4 linked regions of the Saccharomyces cerevisiae S288C genome follow. The protein of the gene in region 4 purifies or fractionates together with the protein of the main gene of each other region. This does not show direct contact. Each region holds a gene or a part of one and is shown on either strand. Other genes may lie near its edges. The genes, in order: HSH49, LEA1, RDS3 and RSE1.

Region 1 (2,847 bases), on a different chromosome or scaffold from region 4:
AGACTAAGCCAGTTGGTATTATTGTACCAAATCATGCTCCATTAACGAAGCTTGCTAAAAAGTTGGGAATTATGGAACAAAAAGACAGTTCAATTAATATCGAAAATTATTTGGAGGATGCAAAATTGATTAAAGCTGTTTATTCTGATCTTTTGAAGACAGGTAAAGACCAAGGTTTGGTTGGCATTGAATTACTAGCAGGCATAGTGTTCTTTGACGGCGAATGGACTCCACAAAACGGTTTTGTTACGTCCGCTCAGAAATTGAAAAGAAAAGACATTTTGAATGCTGTCAAAGATAAAGTTGACGCCGTTTATAGTTCGTCTTAATGGATCAACATTTCCATGATAGGAAAGCCTCATCATACTAAAGCACTTTTTCAGTTTTTTGCTTTAGAACTGCTACCAATTATAAAATAGAATGCACAGGTTATCTTGTTTGGTTTGTTATTATCCTTTTTTCTTCTTTACCAGTCATATCACCTCATTCACGTATGTTCGTAATTTATAATGTTAAAAATGGCATATATAGATATATTTATGAACATCCTAAAAAATAACTAAATTTTTCTACATTTCAAAAAAGGTAACGTTGACTGCCGCATGGCAGTCTAATTAGGAGCTTAGTGATACATATATATATATATATAAATTTCGGCCAAGACACCTCACATAAGAAGCATTACCAGAGGTGTCCTGATCTGAGATGGACCCTGTCTCATTTGTTGAGTTGACAAAATATCAGGGAAATTGATTACCCTGGTGTGCACTGACTCCTTAGTACTCATTTTCACAGCTTCGTACACATCATGGAAGACAAACCATAGCAACCAGCCGCTCTCATTCAATCTCGCATAGACTGGAAGAAGAAGCTCCAGAAGCATATCCATTCCTTGCAAAACGTTCGTTTCTGCGTGCCTGTCTTCTCCACTTTTGTCTCGGTCAGCCAACAGGCACGTGGTGGGTGTGCCTGGAGATTAGAAATTGTAGTTCCTCAGATTATGTAAATTTTCTCAACAAATTTACTAGGACAAAGAAATGACGTAGTAAGAGTACTAAGTATCAAGATTGTTGAGGTGTTCCGTTGTTAGTACTTTTTTACGAGCACGCGAAGTTGACACATTGTGTCTGGCAGATGGGAACTAATTTACTAATCAATTTGCAGCAGTACGCTATCATGTGATGAAATATATTCCCGTTGGATTAACCATAGTCTAATAGACAGTAATATCGAGGACTCAGGGACTACGCCATTTATTTACTTGGAATAATTTGCCTGCCCATTCAATAAAATTATGAAAATTGTGACGTTCATACACATGCTGATGAAATGAGTATTTCTTTTAGTTGAAAATCCAACAAATTCCTCATTAACGCCGTTTTCCCACTTCTATTTACTGGCTTTTCTTTCAAAACGAGGGGATTTATTCTTGGCGTTGTTGAAATTTTCACATTTCCAGAAGATTTATTCGGCGTTTATTTTTCTAATCCAGATTTAACAAAGAGAACAAAATCCCACTCGTTACCCTGCCTTGAATTGTCAGATGGCCTTATTTATTTATTTGTTACCCGCAGATGTGGATATAAGACGGAAATGGATAGTAAAGCTAAAACGACTCTTCAAGCAGAAATTACCGAGATGAGGTAAAAATGAATGGGCAAAATAGCTAGCCAAGAACAGCGCAATCATTCTAAGATTAACATTGATGAACTACAGCGCAGACTCTGGTAATACAGTTTATGTGGGGAATATAGATCCAAGGATAACGAAAGAACAACTTTATGAACTCTTCATTCAGATCAACCCTGTTTTAAGGATTAAGTATCCGAAAGATAAAGTTCTACAAGCTTACCAAGGCTACGCATTCATCGAATTTTATAATCAAGGAGATGCTCAATATGCAATAAAAATAATGAATAATACCGTTAGATTATACGACCGACTGATAAAGGTTCGTCAAGTAACCAATTCTACAGGAACAACTAATTTACCTTCAAATATTTCTAAGGACATGATTCTACCTATTGCTAAGTTGTTCATAAAAAACCTTGCAGATTCGATAGATAGCGACCAATTAGTGAAAATTTTCAATAAATTTGGTAAGCTCATAAGGGAACCCGAAATTTTCTACCTATCAAACGGAAAATTAAAGTGTGCTTATGTTTATTTTGAGGACTTTGAAAAAGCAGATTTGGCAATAAAATCTTTGAACAATCAGTTAGTCGCCAACAACAGAATTACTGTTGATTATGCCTTCAAAGAAAATGGAAAAGGTAACGCAAAATACGGTGATGACGTTGACAGGCTGTTGAATAAAGAAGCATTAAAGCACAACATGTTGAAATAAGATCCCGCTCTCACCTAGTACATACCTTACCCGTTAGAAAATGCGATAACGGACACAATCTTGGCAGAAACATTATCAATACTATGATATATATATATGCGTTTCCGACTATACTAATTTTTACACTTTTTGAAAATTTTCACTTCTCCTCATAATCAAACGAGGCAGATTTCCCTGGACTGTATGTAAGAAGCGTACACCGAGTTCCAAAGGTCACAAGCTTGGTGCTCTAGCTTTGAATCCTCCGCGTCTTCTTCTTTAACGATACATTCAAACTCCTTCATTGATGGATAATTCCAGGGCTTGGCCAATGGATAATCCGAAAAATGTATGTACTTAGAATATGCGACACTGTCGTTTAATCCTACCGGAATATCGTTGCCATCATTATCCAATGTCTTATAACCCAAAACGTCATTATAGATTATAGAATAGTGCCGTGGGTTTCTCAATGAACCCGTCAGTAAGCCGTACCTTGCAAATGGCAAAACCAATACTTC
Region 2 (2,829 bases), on a different chromosome or scaffold from region 4:
AGACAGTATTTCACTGCAATTGCCCTTTATACAAGCAAATTGGCCGTAAGTGAGCAAAGTGTTGTTTAGACAGAGCCTTGTTTCAGTGGCGCTGTACCCGACCGGGTCAAAGGTGATGGGTCTATTTACTTCATTATAAGCATTAATTGCGGCTTTTAGCATTTCAATAGGTGCCACTGATCCGGTATTTAACAGTAAAGAAGCATTTGGGATTCTTGCTAGTTCAGATACTTCACTTTCAATTTCAGACATGATAGGAGATGAGCCTAAAGCTAGAGTGACATTGGCACCAAAATTTTGATGAACCTTATTGGTGATATGTTGCACTAATGGACGATTGTTTGATACTTGAGATATAACGTTTTGAATTGAAGTTGTGGTCGGAAATGTATTATTTAACTCGCACTCAACAAATTGGTATCTGGTAGCATCTAACAAGCCTCTCAACCTCTTGGTTGCTGCACATGCATCTGGAGCGGCCATAATATCGCTGACTAGAGAGATACCATCCAACGATCTCTTTCCATTTGAAGCAACACATTGACAAAGCACACGTTGAATATTGTCAGGATGAAGACCACCAATACCAACGGTTCTACACCATGTAGCTTTAAATTCCTCCAAAGCATCCAAAATGGCAATGGCGCCTTGAGGACCCATGGGTGATTTCTTAGGATTTTTCTTTGTTGATGTAGGGAAAAGAGTACCAACACCAATATAATCTACCATATCTGGCCCCCATTTAGCCAATGTCTCTACCTCCGAAGGTTTACCAACACTCCATCCAAGAATTTTAGAAGGGCCCAAAAGTTTTCTTACCATTGGGATTGGCATATCGTCCTGGCCCACATGAACCCCATCGGCGTCAATTGCCATAGCGACGTCTATACGGTCATTGATAATAAGTGGAACATTGTACTTCTTACATATTTTTTGAACTTCTAAAGCCTCTGCAACGAAATTTTTTGTTTCAATATCCTTTTCACGGATTTGAACTAGCGTTACACCATTTTTCAACCCAGCTTCAACCTGAGAACATAAAGTAGTTCCCGGTGGAAGCATGGTAGAATCTGTAACCAGATATAATGAGTAATCAACTTCTTCCTTAGTAAATACCATTTCCGCTGTTTGATTTAAATAATTTAGCTTCAGAGTGATTTGGTCTTGAGAACCATGGTTAGATCGAAAACTAGGCGCTTCCACAAGTAAATGGATGCGTTGCCGCTATAAATATATGTAGTATTGATTTTGTTACACCTGCTAAATAGGTTCTTACGATTGCCTTTTTCCTATAATATGCATAAATTATGTTGCCCTAAAAGAGTGAAATAAACCTTATCTATCTTTTTTTTGTTCCTGGTTTTCAAAGTTGATTTTCGACAGACCCTAGTTAATTATAGGAAAAAGCCCTATTAGTCTTTTTCTTATCATAGATGACATTTACTTATATTAGGCCAATCGCATACTCTGCATCCAACAAGCCTTCAACAGGTCGAAGTGAAACTACAGGACTTGGAAAATATCAGTTTTTATAAGCAATAATGAAGTTCACCCCTAGCATAGTTATTGATGCTCCGCAATATTATGTTGATCATTTTAATGGCAAGTATAACGTGGATAAATGTGTTATTTTAAGAGACCTGCAGCTAGAAACGGATTCAGAATCCATGCCATCCAGCTTAAAGCATTTGACCAAACCTACGCACATCTTGGATTTGACAAACAATGACCTTATCATGATTCCAGATCTATCAAGAAGAGACGATATACATACATTACTGTTGGGCCGAAACAATATCGTTGAAGTAGACGGTCGCCTATTGCCTATGAATGTACAGAACCTTACATTATCGAATAACAGCATAAGAAGGTTTGAAGATCTTCAAAGGTTGCGTAGAGCGCCCAGGACGTTGAAGAATCTAACTTTAATAGGGAATCAAGTATGTCATTTAGCCAATTATAGAGAACATGTACTTCGATTAGTACCGCATTTAGAGACTTTAGACTTTCAAAACGTAACAGCTGAGGAAAGAAAGAGCGCAATGAGCTTTCCAAGGCAGGCGGACGGCGATACGTTGGGCCCAGTAAATACTGCAATAAGAGATAATGGATCCAGAGATAAAACGATGGAGATCATGAATTTGGTGGTGAGTAAGATGACAGTAGAGAGAAGAAATGAATTGAAAAAGCAGTTAGCAGAAGCTACTTCTTTAGAAGAGATTGCCAGGCTGGAAAAACTACTCTCTGGTGGTGTTTAATCTTTTGGTTAGTGCGACTGTTCAATGACTTAAAAAAAAAGAATTATAAATTATTCTGTGCCATTATATAATAATATATAAAACGAAAACAAATAATGGTGCTCTATAAACATTAGAGGACAATGTCAATTTCAATGTCAATGCCTTAGAAATTAAAGTTGGTAAGAAAGAAGGAAAGGGCAACCTAATTAGCTGCCGCTTCCGGTTGTACTTCAGGTTCGTTGCTCTGAGTGGTGCTGGATATTTCAGCCTTTTTACTAGCAGCTTCCTCCTCTTCCATTCTTTTTCTTTGCTTAATCTTCTTATTGCTCTCGGGCGCATCAGTAAGACCTGGGATACCCTTAGCTGTCAAGAATTCGAAGATACTCTTTTGCACAGCAGGTCCCGATTTATCGGCAGTTTCTTCTCCCTGTGCTCCAGTAACCTTGTTGAAACTATCAATATAACTAAAGAACGCATTAAAAACATTTTCGTCCACCTCTTCCTTGTAGATCTTATCGTAGATATGCTTCATTTTGAACTTATCCACTTCGTCTTGATATTTGGAAAAATCGATCGCCTTGTAACCAAA
Region 3 (2,879 bases), on a different chromosome or scaffold from region 4:
AACTGAAAAATGTGCCATACCAATTAGGTGCAAAAATGAAAGATCTAAAGGGAAGAGAACCAAGAGTTATTTAAAGGGCTACATAGGGTGCAAGATTAGTTAGGTTGTAGAACTAGTTTTTCAGAGTCATTAAATCAGTTATTTTTTATTTTGTAGTCATCAATTAGCCCCTTCGTTAAAGAGACCAATCTAGTACAGTGTGAATATAAAAAAATCATCATAATAAACTAGTCCGCAACAGTCTCTTTTATCATCCAAATCAACTGATAAGGAATAAATTGAAATAAGAAACAAATTTCCGAAAAAATCAGATGTCTTGTGACCAATCATCAATTCTCCACTAAAGAACCATAATGCCATCAACATCGCTCCTTTAAAAAATTTGTACACAAAAGAACGATGAGAGTAGACGGCGACCCTTTAACAGATACTAATATGTCCGCCCGGTCGACAACAAATCATCATATCAAAAGGAAAATTAAAAATTCCATTGCAGGCATGAAAAAGATAATAATGAAAGATAAATGCTTTCTTTTCTTCCCTTCCGTGGCACCCCTCATACAAGGCTGAAACTTAACGAAAAAGGGTTGTCGACATGTAGTTAAACCACTATTCAGTCGGAACAATTGGTATATGATTAATAATTTTTAATCATAGGGGAGTCACACAGAAAGAAAATGGAAAAAGAAAAAAGGAACTCATATATTATCTCTTCCAAGGGACCTACTGGTCGCTTAATCTGCCTCTTTGTAGTGCAGTAGCACTCACAATGGTGCTATATTTGAGTTTGTTCAACTGTTTTCTATTGAAGACGAAGAAGCAAACAAAGGAAGATGTGAAAAAAAAATTCTATGGGTCAAACTTGTGCTTTTATACGTCGTACGAGAGATGGGTCACCCGCTTCTGAGGGTTTTTTTTAGGGCTCATACTAGAGTATTATACTGTTTATATCTTGTTTTAATGTTATATTGCATTACTACTCATCATGACAGTAAATTAGGAGTTCTGTGTGCACTCCAGTTCGGGCTAAAGAGTCGTAATCGTACTGGTCAGGCAGGTACTTGTTGTCAGAGAGACGGTACAACTTGCGGGATACTTGCTTGTTGACGTGCTTGTAGGCATCCTTGAAGCGCAGCAGAGGCAGTGGGTACCGGTCCAGTGCTCGTCGCACGTGCATCTGGATTTTGTGCTTGGCATTCCGTATCTGTTCATACATCTGCTGTGTCTTGACGCTGTGCTTGTCCCGTAACTCACCAGCAAAAATCATGGAATTCCTGGAATCGTAGCTAGCAAGTTGGCTACTGATAGCACCCATGCGCAGCTCGAGCAATGCATTTGATCTACAATCTGTGCACTCCTGCCACGTATTGCGATCGCCCACCTCACAAGCTAGCCCGCGTAGACATGTTTCGTGATATATTGCTTCGCAGTCTTGGCAATACAGGCTTAATCGAGAAACATCTGTGTCTCCGCATATGCTGCACTGAATTATCTTAATGGTATCCATCACCAGCGTACCTCTAAGCCTTTCGCTGAGAAATTCTATTTCTTGGTCTTGCTCCCCTGTATCGTCCTCATTTCTTTCGTTAGTTGTTTCGGCCCCCACATAATCGATAGCATTCTTAATCATAAACCCCATCTTCAAATTTATAGAAAGTGCATGTTGCCCTTCGCCAACTTCTAAATGGGTGGATTCAACCCTGCAGATGGGGCACTTCAAGTTGATACTATACTTGTGCCACTCTCTTATACAGTTTAAGTGGAATTTATGCCCGCAAACGTTCAAACATCCAAATTGTTCACCCTCTTGGTCATCTGCCAAACAAATAGGACACTCTTCCATCTTTTTATATGATATTTGGATATTTGGCTGAGGGTATGGTCTCTCCCTTGGCTCAACTCCTTGCATCTTTTTTTCTATTTTTTTTTCTCACTTTCTGTTCTTCCATATATGCATTACTTGCCATATTTCTCACTTACTAAGGCATTCAACATAGAAAATGAAGATGGATACAAAAAAGATCCACACACATACAAGCCTCCAACAAAAAAAACATGTCCCGCCATCAGTTTGATCTAATAATGTGCCTAAAGCAGCCTGGTGTACAGACAGGTCTTCTTTGTGAAAAATGTGATGGCAAATGTCCTATCTGCGACTCTTATGTAAGGCCCAAAAGGAAAGTTAGAGTATGTGAAAACTGTTCGTTTGGTAAACAAGCTAAAAATTGTATAATTTGTAATCTAAATGTTGGAGTCAATGACGCATTCTATTGTTGGGAGTGCTGCCGCTTAGGTAAAGATAAAGATGGCTGTCCTAGGATCTTAAACCTTGGCAGCAATAGACTGGATAGACATTTCGAGAAAAAGAAAAAGGTATAACACATACATATAGAATATGTAAAAATATATAAATAAATAACATGCATTTATAACCCATGGTACTATTTTCTTCCCCTTATTCGTTACTATATTCGTCGTAACTACTGTCGCTCACGCACACTTGCAAACTGTTCTCGTTGAATAAGAAGCTTTCCTCTATATCATCTATACCATCACTATCGTCGTTATTGCCTTGCCCCTCCTCTTCTCCTTTACCATGCTCTAAGATATTCTTTTCAGCCTGCTTGCGAGTCACTTCTTTTATGATACTTACAAACAGCTCGCTTCTCTTAATTTCGTAGATTAACCAGTCCATTCTGACAGCCAGCTGTCTTATGCGGTTTATCATATCTGTCTTAGTCTTTGTGCTAATAGGAACACATTTTCCCATAAGCATCAGAGTGCTTTCAAATTTTTTCAATTTCTCCCATTTGGCTGATTTTATAGACCTAAGTCTTTCCATCCTCTGCAAAATGGTAAGCTTTCTCTTATTACAAATA
Region 4 (6,188 bases):
GCTATAAACAATGAAACAAAAAAAAGCACTACGAAAACAGTAGATTCGTGAGGAATTGAAAAAAAGAGTGAAAAAACTAATAAAAACAACGAGAGTAAATAGGATAGTACAAAAATACTAGGAGTAAAAAAAGGCCCTCTAGTAGTAGTAATAGTAATAGTAATAGTAGTAGTACTAGTAGTAGTAGTAGTAGTTAAAGGCTATGGTTGAATAAAAAAAAAGTCTGGATGGTAGTGTTTTGGTTTTACAATTAATTAGATTTTTTCAAATCATTCTTTTTTATACCAAAAGTAGCATCATTGTTTGATGCTTTCTCTTTCTCATCAGCAATTTCTCTTCTGAGCTTAACTAGCGAGGCCAGTTTTTCATCTGGTTCATAAATACCAAACCTTCTAAACCTCCTAATTTCAGCATTCATCTTACCAATATCCCCGTCATACTCTTCCAAGATCTTCTTTAGATTGTTTTCCAGCTCCACAAAGTATTCTTCACTTAAAATGAATTTCCGTTCGGTTTTAATAGCCGTGAAAGTGGAAGCAGTGAACCTATCTTCTAGAGGACTTTGGAAACCCTCTCCAGCCACAAGTTGGATACCTGGTGCTGCAGCTTTCCTAATCGCGCCCGCTCTATAAGCAGCAACTGCACCACCCATCTTATCTATGACATAGTTGTAATAGTTAGTCTGGTAATCGTCGTAAGTAGCTCTCTTAGCACCAATCCAGCCCAGAGAGCGCAAACGTGTCTTTAAGTCAGTAGTGTTGTTATTGCCGCCAGAATTCTTAGCGCCGTTAGCAGAAGGAGAAGTTAAATCTCTCAAACTCCATAACTTGTAAGGATTGAAGCTGATGGGGTTGGCAATGCCTAATTTGAGGAATAAAGTAATTATGCCCACTTTGAAAATGTGCATGACAAAGAAAAGCCATTGAGCTACGAGACTAGAATAGTTTGCCTGAACTTCTTGTTCGAGTTTAGCGGCAATTTCAGGTAAATCCATGTGCTTGGCTACAGGAATCAATAGTCTAGACAATTGATTAGTCAAACAAATACCTGGGGTTGGAGAAATGGCGTCGGGCAAATCGGTATATAGCCAGGCCAACATAATAATGGTGTATACCCATATGTTTTTCTTGGATAGCTTCCACTCCGGAACAACTAGCTGACCAGGCCACAACTGGTCAATAAGCGGCTTGGAGTCATTCAACTCCTCGAGATTTTCTTCGTTATCAGCTTCATAATGGAACATCAAACAACCACCTTCGGACAGGTACCCTGGATGGATAGACTTATAGAACTTTACGGGCTCCTTCTCATGGAAAATTGATGGTCTCAGCACCATTAAGTCCGCCAAACCCGTCTTGGAAGGGAAAATCTTCTTAATTTTGTTATTTATGGTGTCTTCATTTGACACCTGAAACGCATAGTCGTGCTCGACATCTGCGTTAAGTCTAATGTAAATCTCCATGCTTGCAATCGCCCTCTATCAAAACAAAGTCCACCGATCTCTGCTGCCCCTCTCTAAAAAGGAAAACAATGGCACCATTAGCTTCTTTTCTCGCTTTTTTATAATATTTTCCATCATTAAATGTGGGGAGGTGGCAAAATGGCAGTAGTAAGCTTGTCGCCCCACACGGCGAAGATGCGTAAACTATTTGGGCAAGCTAGCACAACGATGGCTTATGACGGTTTAAAACGAGAGGCTGAAAGAAGAACAAGGAGTGACCATAACATAACAATGGTTGCTAAAGATGATGAGCTATACTTGTACCATCTTACTTTAAAGAAACAGACGAATTTCGTGCACTCCTGCATCGGACACTTCGTCGATCTGGAAGCAGGGTCCAAGCGTGAGCAGTCGCAATTGTGCGTAGCTACTGAGACGCATTTAGAACTTTATGATACTGCAGATGGGGAACTAAAGCTTATTGCCAAGTTTCAAAACCTGTTTGCGACGATAACCTCGATGAAGTCGCTGGATCTGCCGCATTCAGGGTCAAGGGCAAAAGCTTCCAACTGGCCCACTTTTCTAGCGCTAACTTCCGATTCTGGTAACCTAAGTATCGTGCAAATCATTATGCATGCAGGTGCTCTTAGACTTAAGACTTTAGTGAACCAGCCATTGACGAGGACCACCCTTCGAAGAGTCTCTCCCATATCATACATGGAAATTGACCCTAATGGGCGTTGTATCATTCTCTCATCTGTCGAACAAAATAAATTGTGTTTCCTCGTTGATTATGCTCAAAAATTGAGGATTTCGTCTCCATTGGAAATCATCAGACCCCATATGGTAACGCTGGATATGGCAGTTGTTGATGTAAATTTCAATAATCCATGTTTTGTTACCTTAGAAATCGACAATGCCGCTACTCAACTATCAGTACACTTGATATTTTATGTCCTCGAGTTGGGTTTGAATCACATCGTCAAGAAGGCAGATTATTTAGTTAACCCATCTGCCAATTTCGTACTGAGTTTGCCAGATCTATCGCGATATAATATAACAACTTCGCTAAGCGACAACAACTATGATGCTGACTATGATACCCTTTTCAACCCTTTTGTTGTCATAGGCTTCGAAAATCATATTCTGGTAAAGGATATGAACGGATTTTTCAGCCTGAAAGTGGAAATACCCAAAAGATCTATCACAAATAGCCGTCATAAAAATGTAACAATCATATCAGGCATAGTGCAGAAATTGAAAAATGATTTTTTCGTACTTTTACAATCTAACCATGGCGATCTTTTTAAGTTAACTGTAAGTCCAGACACTAATGATAGAAATAGACCTTTAGTTCAATTGTCCTACTTTGATACAATCCAAAATTCACACCAATTACACATTTTCAAAAACGGTTATCTTTTTGCACTATCTGAAATGAATAACAACTTTCTTTTCCAGTTTGAGAAACTTGGTGTAGAGAAAAATGATTTTTCTAATGTTTTAACCTCAAAAGATCCAAATAAGTCGCTAGTTTTCGAACCATCCATAAAGTTGCAGAATTTGAGCATATTATCGCAACAATTGAATTTGAACCCTTCAATAAAATCTCAAATTGTCAGTGATTCGCCACTGTCTATCGCCACTAAACATTTTACAAACAACAAGATAATAACTTTAACAAATGCTGTGAATTACTCTAATTTGATATCTACTAGTTTACCCCCGAACGCAACCAAGTTATGGCTAATACCCGATCCTGCAACAACCGGCGATAACAATACTCTTTTGTTCATAACTTTTCCCAAGAAAACTATGATACTACAAATTGACAACGAGTCCATGGAGGAACTAACACCGGATGAAGCAACGCGTTCAGCTTTCAAGCTCTCTCAGGACACAACAATTCATACATGCCTAATGGGCTCACACTCTATTATCCAAGTATGCACCGCAGAACTAAGACATATCGTACCGACTGGTAAATCTAGGTATTCTAATAAGCTGACTTGGGTGCCACCAGCGGGAATTCGTATTGTATGTGCCACGTCCTCGAAAACACAACTAATTATATCATTATCAAATTACGAATTGGTTTATTTCAAGATAGATGTATCTTCGGATTCGTTAATCGAATTAACCACCCACCCAGAATTGGACACAATGCCCTCTAAAGTTGCGATTGTGCAAGATACGCAGCATGCTGATTTATTAGCCATTGCTGACAATGAGGGTATGATCAAAATAATGTCTCTTAAAGACCAAAAGGAAGATTTTTTAACTGTAATAAGTTTGCAATTAGTTAGTGAAAAGATTTCTGACATGATAATGGTTAGAGATTCCTCAATAGGACAGCTTAATTTGCATGTAGGTTTAGAAAATGGCGTTTACATGAAATTTCATATAGGGGATGTTGACGGATCGTTCACTGACATAAAAAGGCGATTCCTTGGCTTGAAGCCTGTTTCCCTTTCGTATTTGCGTGAGATATCTGTATCACTAAATAATGAGGAAGAAGAAGAAGAAGAAGAAGACGATGATGATGAAAAAGAAGAAGAAGAAATAAATAGTAGTGGAGCTAAATGGATGTCATGCGTGGTTTGCCATTCCTCTTCTACATGGGTAAGCTACACGTGGAAAAATGTGTGGACCATACGGCAGTTAAAGGATCAAAACATGCTAAGTTGTTCCAAATTTGTTAACGCAGATGTTGCAATCAACGGTGTTTGTTCAATATCGAGCTCAGGACGCTTAAATATTGGCAGAGTTTCCAACTTTCCAACTTTGGATAACTGGTTTCACGTTCATGAATCAAGTGTTAACAAGCAAGAGAACGGTGGAGGAGATGAAAGCAATGAAGAGGAAGAAGATGAAATGGAAGAAGAAATGGAAATGTTACAAATATCTACATTCCGACCTCGTACTATTTTATCATTTCCCAATAATCCGAAAAGCATTTTGTTTATTGATAATCACAGTGGTAAGAAACAATGCCGTATATCACTGCAAATTGATGGTGAATGCTTAAAGTTTGGCAGTTCGGATCATTTATACAAGATACTGGACGATATCGATTGCGTTTCCGCTGCTATAATAGATTTCACAAGACAAGCTGATCATTTGATCATTTGTGCTGGCGACAAAAGGCTGTTAACATACAAGATATTAGTTAACAAAGATAAACTATCTTTTGATATTGAATTACTTCACCAAACAGAAATCATTTCACCAATACATGCTATGTTGAAGTTTAAAAACTTCTTGCTGACAGCCATGGGCTCCACTATTGTCCTTTATGGTTTGGGGAAAAAGCAATTATTAAGAAGGTCCGTAACACAGACCCCGGTATCCATAACAAAAATTGTGTCTATGCACCAGTGGAATTATGAAAGACTGGCCGTTGGTGATATACATGAATCTGTCACTTTATTTATCTGGGATCCTGCGGGGAATGTATTTATTCCGTACGTAGATGACTCTGTAAAACGCCATGTGACGGTATTGAAATTTCTAGATGAGGCAACTGTTATAGGCGCTGATAGATATGGAAATGCGTGGACTTTAAGGTCTCCACCAGAGTGCGAAAAAATCATGTCAAATCATGATCCCAGCGAATTATCTAATGGGGCCATCAAGTACCCACTAGACGTCATCACTTTACAGCAGAAATTACCCAATACTTATGATTGCAAGTTCAAGTTTCAACTACTGAACCACTTCTTTGTTAATGATATCATCACTGATTTCCATATCCTGGACAGCCTTTCAAATTCTGATAGACCTGGTTGTATCTATATGGGCTTACAAGGAACCGTGGGATGCTTTATCCCCTTATTATCCAAGGGGAATGTTTTTATGATGGGAAACATTGAGAATATAATGGCTGAGGCGGATGATACGTTTTATTTAGATTATGAATCAAGAAAGAAGAATAACAATATGCGTAAGGAAGACGATGAAGAGGAATCTGGAAGTGTTGTGTTACAAGGACGGCATGGTATAGAGGATGAAATAATATGTGAGGGTTCCTGTTCCATTTTAGGTAGAGACCACCAAGAATACAGAAGCTATTATGCCCCTGTACGTAAAGTTATTGATGGTGATTTATGTGAAAATTTCCTGAGACTTTCCTTGAATGAGCAGGAATTTTTGGCCAAAAATTTAAAGAGTGTACAAGTGGAGGATATAATTCAAACAATCAACGAAGTCAGAACAAATTACATGTAATGATTTTACAGTAATAATACCAAGTATAAAGGCGTGTTAATGTATTTTCTTAATAAATATATGTACAAGGAATATATGATAGCTTTAAATATAAGAAATATAAAATTTCACCTCATCTTTATTTCTGTTTTAAAAGGAAACCGTTTTAATTCATCGATATGCCACCTCTGTACATTTCGTCGATGATTTTACCGTTTTCCAAGTTTTCACATAACAGCTTCAAGTTGTGTGGGTAAACTTTACCAAACCATAATGAATCCAGCTTGTTTTGCATCTTTTCTCTGCCGAATAGTTTATAGAAAATGACATTACCAGCAAAAATATGACCCCCAATATGAGAAATTAAGGCTAGATTATTCTCAGGAAAAAGCTTTTCATCTTGAAATGCTGCAATTATGTCGGGTCCCATTTCTCCACACTTAGCATCTCTCTTATAATGCCCACAGACTAAGTTCCAATCTCTTAGAAAAGTTTCACCCTGAAACCTTGTAAGCTTTCTATGATGCACTTCATGAACCTG

What was found.
Region 1: the proteins of RSE1 (region 4) and HSH49 purify together in Saccharomyces cerevisiae (affinity purification with mass spectrometry; 6 studies listed by BioGRID). This does not show direct contact.
Region 2: the proteins of RSE1 (region 4) and LEA1 purify together in Saccharomyces cerevisiae (affinity purification with mass spectrometry; 5 studies listed by BioGRID). This does not show direct contact.
Region 3: the proteins of RSE1 (region 4) and RDS3 purify together in Saccharomyces cerevisiae (affinity purification with mass spectrometry; 5 studies listed by BioGRID). This does not show direct contact.

Annotation. Positions count from the first base shown.
Region 1 is NC_001147.6:911,117-913,963, forward strand, and holds HSH49 (U2 snRNP complex subunit HSH49), read left to right. Parts: upstream 1-1,705; coding exon 1,706-2,347; downstream 2,348-2,847. Other genes in the region: long-chain fatty acid-CoA ligase FAA1, read left to right, coding at 1-329; GNT1 (glucose N-acetyltransferase), read right to left, coding at 2,503-2,847. UniProt on the Saccharomyces cerevisiae protein: Possible SF3b-like factor.
Region 2 is NC_001148.4:149,073-151,901, forward strand, and holds LEA1 (U2 snRNP complex subunit LEA1), read left to right. Parts: upstream 1-1,541; coding exon 1,542-2,258; downstream 2,259-2,829. Other genes in the region: THI6 (bifunctional hydroxyethylthiazole kinase/thiamine-phosphate diphosphorylase), read right to left, coding at 1-1,119; pseudouridine synthase PUS1, read right to left, coding at 2,443-2,829. UniProt on the Saccharomyces cerevisiae protein: Involved in pre-mRNA splicing. Associates to U2 snRNA in a MSL1 dependent manner and is required for normal accumulation of U2 snRNA. Required for the spliceosome assembly and the efficient addition of U2 snRNP onto the pre-mRNA.
Region 3 is NC_001148.4:718,582-721,460, forward strand, and holds RDS3 (U2 snRNP complex subunit RDS3), read left to right. Parts: upstream 1-2,055; coding exon 2,056-2,379; downstream 2,380-2,879. Other genes in the region: ubiquitin-protein ligase ASR1, read right to left, coding at 977-1,843; Arf family guanine nucleotide exchange factor SYT1, read right to left, coding at 2,456-2,879. UniProt on the Saccharomyces cerevisiae protein: Required for pre-mRNA splicing. Involved in regulation of drug sensitivity and may play a role in multidrug resistance.
Region 4 is NC_001145.3:173,700-179,887, reverse strand, and holds RSE1 (U2 snRNP complex subunit RSE1), read left to right. Parts: upstream 1-1,582; coding exon 1,583-5,668; downstream 5,669-6,188. Other genes in the region: GSF2 (Gsf2p), read right to left, coding at 251-1,462; AIM32 (Aim32p), read right to left, coding at 5,814-6,188. UniProt on the Saccharomyces cerevisiae protein: Involved in G2/M transition. Required for pre-mRNA splicing and endoplasmic reticulum (ER) to Golgi secretion pathway. U2 snRNPs associated protein required for the pre-spliceosome assembly.